Linked DNA regions of Canis lupus familiaris. The protein of the gene in region 2 purifies or fractionates together with the protein of the main gene of each other region. This does not show direct contact. Links are inferred from orthologs where the notes say so. Each region holds a gene or a part of one and is shown on either strand. Other genes may lie near its edges.

The links. The genes of interacting proteins can lie anywhere in the genome.
Region 1: the proteins of YWHAE (region 2) and PAK4 purify together in Homo sapiens (affinity purification with mass spectrometry; 4 studies listed by BioGRID and IntAct, with this or other methods). This does not show direct contact. The link is inferred for Canis lupus familiaris from reciprocal best matches to the Homo sapiens genes YWHAE and PAK4.

The regions. Positions count from the first base shown.
Region 1 is NC_049222.1:114,835,410-114,839,157, forward strand, and holds the start of PAK4 (serine/threonine-protein kinase PAK 4), read right to left. Parts: upstream 2,538-3,748; 5' UTR 2,348-2,537; intron 1-2,347. UniProt on the Homo sapiens protein: Serine/threonine-protein kinase that plays a role in a variety of different signaling pathways including cytoskeleton regulation, cell adhesion turnover, cell migration, growth, proliferation or cell survival.
Region 2 is NC_049230.1:45,479,287-45,482,934, reverse strand, and holds part of YWHAE (14-3-3 protein epsilon), read left to right. Parts: intron 1-1,008; coding exon 1,009-1,145; intron 1,146-3,648. UniProt on the Homo sapiens protein: Adapter protein implicated in the regulation of a large spectrum of both general and specialized signaling pathways. Binds to a large number of partners, usually by recognition of a phosphoserine or phosphothreonine motif.

The sequences.
Region 1 (3,748 bases), on a different chromosome or scaffold from region 2:
GGGCATGAGGTTGGGCCAGCCTCGCAGGACTGCCTGGCAGTGTGCCCACCCGGTGACCCTGCCAGAGCTGGAGGGGGTGCAGGGCAGCTGCCTGAGAGAGCCAGGAGGCAGGTGGGGTGGGGCCCTCCCTCATTTCTGAGGTCCTCCCCAGGTGGTGGCAGCAGCAGGACTAATGCCAACACGGCGCATAGCAGGTGCCAGGCCCGGGGCCATGCGCTTCACACTCTGTGCCCTTGTGGCCATCCTGTGACGTGGCCGTTATCATTCCCATTTTGCAGAGGAAGAAACTGAGGCCCAGAAAGTTAAGCAGGTTGCCCACGGCCACAAAGCCTGAGTGATGGAGCTGTGTGAGCAGCAGGCATCCCACTCTAGCAGCTGCTCCCTGAACCAGTCCTCGGTACTTACGCTCCAGATACAGGGCAGCTGCTCAGCAGCCCCTGCTCCACTGCCCCCCGACCCCTGGGGACCGGGCACCCTGGGGATCCAGATGTAGCCCCGTATCACTGGCTGGGGGTCTGGTTCCAGTCTGCTCCCACCAAGGGACACGGAGAGCCCTTGGAGGCCCAGGGTTCTGTGTCTTGCCCGCTGCTGCCGTCTCAGCACCCAGCACAGTGTCCGACATCCAACCACCAGCCACCAAGCATCCTCCGCTGGCCAGGCTGCTTCAGGCCGGGATTCAGGGAAGGAACAGCAAGGAGAAATTCCTGCTGCGTGGGCCCCACGTTCTTTGGGGAGGGAGGGAGGGGAGGCGGACAACACATGGTGCCCTGACAAACAAGGTAAGAACAGAGCAAAGCCCTGGGGAGAAAACAAGAGAGTGAGATAAAGGGCGTGTGAGGGACAGTGAGGGCCAGGTGGTGCTGGTAGGGCTGCACGTGGGTGACTGCGAGTGGGGGGCGGGCGGGGAAAGGATTCTGGGCAGAGGGAAGAGGAACGTCAAAGACCTGGAGGGTGGCATATACCTACAGAGTTGAAGAAAGCAAAGAGGCCAGTGGGGTTGGACCTTGACAAGGGACCCGGAGAGCAGAAGGAAATGGCGTGGGAGCCATCTGGGACCACCATGAGAGCTTGGGGTTTTAAGTACAGAGAACACTCGGCCTTGTACTGGGTTCCCTTCAGGGACATCCTCCCCAGCCAGAAGCCCATCAGACTCACTTGGACTCGGGGCCACCCACAAACACCCCCACCCGCGTAGGTCCATGAGAACTTTTCTTCCCAGATCACACCCTCCCAAGGAGCCCAGAGACAATCCATTCCAGTCCGGGGAGTGGCTCAGCCCTGCCCAGCCCCCTGCTTCCAGGACAGGAACGTCCTTTAACAATCTACAGTGTAACAACCCAGGGGCAGGAGCTCTGGAGTCCGTCAGACCCAGCTTGGAACCCGCCTCCTGTTACTCAGCAGAAGGTACCCGAGCCTCAGTTTTCCTGTCTGTAAAGTGGGTCTATCCAGGACCCACCTCACAAGTTCGCGGTATAACGAATCAAGAGCGGCGAGCACGGCGTTAGGCCTCATTAAATATTAGCCAAAGTTACGATTGCCCGAGAAGCAGTAGAGCCTGGTACGACTCGGCCCAGAACTCCGGTCTGAATCCCAGCCCCGCAACTTCTTCATTAGATGATCCTGGGCAGATCGCTTGGGCTCTTAATAACAGCGCCAACCCTATAAGGCTGCGGAGAGGGTTAAATACGTGTAAAGCGTCCAAGTGACCGGGCACATAGTAATTCACGAGTGCTTGCTCTTCTTTTCGTTATTTGTGGGCGCGGGCTCCCCTTTACCCGGCCAGGAAGCACCTTTGATGGCTCTGGGGCATCCCTCCCGTCCTCCCCAGCAATGGATCCCACTGGGGTTTCAACTGTTGACCCTCAGGTCCATCATCTGTCACACTCTGACCTTTGCCCCCTCTGGCCACGCCCCACATTTGAGCCCTTAAAAAGGTGGCCCCCCAACCTCAGTCTCGGCATCTGCTCCGCCGGCTGCTGCCGCAAACCCGCAACCCGCCGCCCCGGGGGCTGTGATCTCCGACTCTGGTAAGCGCGCCCTCCCTTCAAATGACTCGCTTTGACCCCCATTTTGTGACCCTCGCCCCGACCCCCTCCAAAGCTCCAAAGGGCCCCACTTCAAATTTCGAACTTCGAGGTCCCCTTCGCCACGCCCCCTTCGCCACTCTGACCTCTGACCTCTTGTACACCACCCTCCCCGGCGGCACTGACCCCCGACCTCTCCGACGCGACCCTTCCCTCTTCGAGTGAACTTTGACCCCCGCGGCCCCGCCCCCTACTTGCGTAAACGCTCTCCCACCGCCACGGCCCGGCCCACCCCAATCTCCAGGCCAGACCGCTGATCCTACCGGCTCGGCGCTGCAGTTGCTCGCGGCCTAGCAGCTCGACTCGGAATCCCGAACCCTCACACCGCCCTCAGCTCTCTTGCGCCGCCGCCACCGCGGCCACTGCCGCCGCCATGTTAAATCCCCAACGAACATCCGGGGCTTTCCCCCCTCGCCGCCCACCAGTCCCCATAGCAACGGGGCTGACCGGGCAGGGGGCAGGGCCCGTCCAGGGGCGGAGCTGGGCCGCCGGCAGAGCCCGCTCCAGCCTCTGATTGGTGCAGATTGTCCAATCGGAGCCCTTCGGGCAGAAAATGCCGAGCGGAGATTGGAAAATTTGGAAAGGGTGCGGGGAAGCTGGCTCCCCGCCCAATCAGGTTCTTAAAGGGGAAATGACCATCCGCGTGCGGCAGTCGCACCTTACACCAAAAAACCGAGTAAGCGGGTGGAAGGCAGTAATGGGTAACAATGGCCAGACACAGTTACTAAGCACTTGTGTTCCAGACACCCGGCCAAAAGCCCCTTGCATTGTCTCACTAAATGCTCACTAAATGCTCACCAAACCTCTGTTGTATTATTTTTTTTAAAAGACTTTATTTCTTCATAAGAGACACACACAGAGAGGGGGACACAGAGGCAGAGGGAGAAGCAGGCTCCCTGCAGGGAGCCGGAGGGGGAGGGTCTCGAGCCCAGGACCCAAGGATCACGACCTGAGCCAAGGCAGATGCTCAACCCCTGGGCCACCCAGGCGTCCCAACCCTGTCCTAGTATTAATACTCATCTTACAGGGACAGAAACAGGCTCACAAGGGTGAACTAGCTGCCTCAGGATTACAGGAAGTAGATAATGAGTTTTGAACGACAATCCGAGTCCAGGAACTTGAACTGGAACCAAGACACTGTTTGATCTTAATCTTTTCTGTAAGCTTTTAAAAAAAATAATTCATCCAAAAAAAAAAAAAAAAAAAAGGAAAATACGAGAAAACAAACAACAACAACAAAATCCATAAGCTAAACCCAGACATCCTATCCTATGCTTTCACTCACTGGGTCCCAGCTACGTTGCTCTTTCAGAAAAGATACCGGGCATTCCCCTTCCTCGAGGTCTTTGCATGGGCTGCTCCTTCTGTCCGGAATAGACTCTTTCCCTTGGCATCCTCAGGGCTCCCTCCCTTACCTCTCTCAGCGTTTTACTCAAATATCACCTTATCAGGGTGATTCCTTCCTACCCTAACTAAAGCAGCAAACATCCCTCTCCCATGCTGCTAAGCCCTTCCCCTCATCTGCTTTTTCTTATTTTCCTGCTCCAATCGCCTTCTAACAAACTAGATAATTAGCTAATTGTAGTTATTTGGGTTGTTTCCTCTACTGAAATGTCAGCTCCACGAGAGCATGGATTTTTGTCTGTTTTGTTTCCTGTGCATGC
Region 2 (3,648 bases):
CTCCAGAGAAGCACTTCATACTTGTTTTATAATGGTTTTATATGTCAGTCCTCTATTTTCTAGATATTCACTGTGGACTGAGATTGTTTTTTCCCTCTCTTCTGTTTCTCCACCAGTGTTCCACATCACTTGGTATACATCATACAATATATCCAGTAAATGTTGTTTCTTTTAAATTCTAACGAATAGCTTACATACATTTTTGTGGGTTCTATATTGCCCCTCCCCCCATTTTTGGCTTCTGTTAACATTAAATTCTTCGGAAATAAACTGAACTAACATTTCATCTTTTTGCATTAAAATTTTATTAAATAAGTGAGCTGTTAATGCTTGGCTGGCTTAGTGGTTGAGCCAGATATCTGCCTTCGGCTCAAGTCATGATCCCGGGGTCCTGGGATCAAGTCCCACATAGGCTCCCCACAAGAAGCCTGCTTCTCCCTCTGCCTAGGTCTCTGGCTCTCTCTCTCTCTCTCTTCTCTCTTCTATGTATGTGTCTCATGAATAAATAAATAAAATTTTTTAAAAACGTGAGCTGTTGACTAGAACTTGGTAATACTTTTATTATGCCTATATTTTGGTTGGTTCAGGATAGAATTTATTTAGTCTATATTCTGTTTATTGATAGGCTTGTCAAAAGCCTAGTAAGAAGTGGTGTTCTGGGGTGCCTGGCTAGCTCAGTAGGTAGAGCATGTGACTCTTGACCTCGAGGTTGAGGTCATGAGTTTGAGCCCCACATGGGGAGTTTTTAAAAAAAATAATGTAGTAGTGCTCCTAACAATTTTATGCCTCCAAATTTGCTAGATTATAAAATTAAATAGAAAATTAATTTTCATCAGTTACATCTATTTTTCCTTTATTACAGTATTTAAACCCAGGATAGTATTATATACTGTGGGATAGCTGAAGAAAAAGATTGATTTCTAACACGTCATTTCTTTTTTTTTTTTCTAACACATCATTTCTGTTTTGAGGCTTTATTACTATAATATATTTATTAAATACTTTTAGGTTGGCAAAAGCAGCTTTTGATGATGCAATTGCAGAACTGGATACGCTGAGTGAAGAAAGCTATAAGGACTCTACACTTATCATGCAGTTGTTACGTGATAATCTGACACTATGGACTTCAGACATGCAGGGTGATGGTAAGGAAACTCCGAAGTTAAATGCATCTCTTTTCAGCTATTGGATATTTTTACTCTTAGGAATTCCTTGGTATTTCTTCATACTAAGCTACAGTTTAGACTCAGCCTATCCCCCAACAAACTATCAAATTTTAATTATTGTTTTTATAGCAAATGATCTCAAAGTACAATTTCCATTTGGGACTGTATGTTAATAATATAAAAGACCTCCTTGGAAAGGGGGATCTTTTTAATATTCAAAGATTTAAAAGTTAAAAGATTTAAAAGTTTTGTCTCTAATGATATTTGCTAACCTTAGTTTTTTTCTCTCACTGTGTTTTGGAAAATGGAGACAGGAATCAGCTCATTTTCTTTTTCTCAGATTCAATTTTAGGGATCTAAGATTGTATTTGATTGTCATGATCACTGCTTTGGCTGACTGGTATCCTGAGGTTAAAACTAGATGGTGTCAAAAAAAAAAAAAAACTAGATGGTGTCAGTAAATATTTATGAACCATTTTCTCTGGAAATCTTTAAAGAAGGAACTTGTCTCTGGATTTTATAAAGCAAATGGAATGTCCTGCTTTTTGTCTGTAAGAGGTCTGATATAGTCTCTGTTTTGTTGTTATTGTTTGTTTTTAGTTATAAATATTATTTTACAAAACTTAGTCTTGTGATGGGGGGTTAATATTTATTCTAAATGCCCAAATTTGTCATAATTGTTGATTTTAAAGGAGATTTTATTCTTATTCTTTATTTATCCCAAATAATCCTTTTTTATCCATGATAGATTGTTGAAGAGTTGAGGAGAGGGCATGGGGCACATAAACTAGTGTGGCATGCGCATTTTATGAGCTATAGCTCTATAGTTGGTGGTATGTGGAGTGGAAACAAAAAGTTTTGTCAATTTAAGTTGCAGATCCTTTAAGGACTCTGAAGCATATGTTGCATTGCTTGAGGCTGTATAGTCTGTTAGTCAAGACAGCATGCTGAATCCAGCATGTTGTCTTTGGAAGCATTGTACTTAAAAGTATTTCTGGGGATGCCTGGGTGGCTCAGTGGTCAAGCGTCAGCCTTTGGTCAGGTCACAGTCTCAGGTTCCGGGATTGAGTTCTGCATCGGGACTCTCCCTGCAAGGAGCCTGCTTCTCCTGCCTATGTCTCTGCCTGCCTCTCTGTGTCTCTCATGAATAAATAAATAAAATCTTTTTAAAAAATTAAAAAGTACTTCTGAAAATGGGTTTTTCAGGGCATGTATGTTGTAAGTTTCCTTACTCCAGAAGGATAGAGTCAGATTTTAGACTTCTTTAGGTAATAAAGTGAGAATTAGGTGACTCCGCTTTAAAGCTAACTAGCTTTATGAAATATTTAGATATTTGGCTAGGGTTGGCTTGAGATGTGTGGCATATGTGATCTACTTGCACACTTACCCAACAAAGCCAGGTGGAGCCACATACTACTTTTCAACACAGTACTTCAGGCAACCGCTACCAGTCTGTAGGACTCAAAACCAATTTACCATCTCTGAACTAATGACTTGAGGTTCCTTCCAGCTTTGACATTTTGTTGTATTCTAAATAATAACTACTCAGAAGAATGGCCAAACAGCTGTGGACTCTTCACAGTCACTCTCAGCTCAGAGAAGACTAATATCTCTCTGCCTGTTTGAGGGGCTAAAGGAAAACATGTGGAGAGTTTGGTAAGCGGTATTGACCTATAAGTAAGGTATATACCCCTGTGACCTCTGGGGACATTTTTCTGAGGGTGAAAATAACAAAGAAGGTGACCTGGGTTGAAACCTTTCTTTCTTTCTTTCTTTTTTTTTTTTAAAGACATTTCATGCCAACTTTTATAACTAAACTTTTGCTAGATTATAAAAGTAAATAGAAATAAGGTTTATTTTCTAATGCTACTTATATATCACTGATAACCAGGAATTAAAGTAACTATATGTCCATTCAATTTTTACAAAGAACCAAAGATAACACTTTTTCTTGGTTATAAAGCATTTTATGAAATAGGGTTATTCTCTTGAAACTACTTTTCATAGTTGGAGGGGTTCTTTGTATAGAGATGTTTCATTACATTTCTGATAGATCTCTCTTTAATCCTGTTTTAAATTTAGTGAAATCCAGTTGCTATAGTTCTTATCACTTTGTAAGTTGAACAGTTGATTAAATTTAGTTGAGACAGACTAATTTTCATTGAAGAGCTTTGTATTTGAAATTAGGAAACAAAAAAATTATGAAACATAGTTTATTAAAAATTTAAGTAGTCTTCGGACATTTTAGTAAAATTAACAAATTATCTGAATTTAAAAATTGTGGGTACTAGTAATTTATGTGTTTTATTAAATAGGTTTTGTGACTTAGAATATGCAAAATTGCAGTCATGAAATAGGCAGTTCCTCAGGGTGTTAATTTACTTGAACATTATTTAGTTTTTTTCCTTTTTAATTTTATTACGAAAAACGGTGTCAAAAAACTAGAATTAAGGGTTTCTAAAGGAAGAAATAGATGATATTC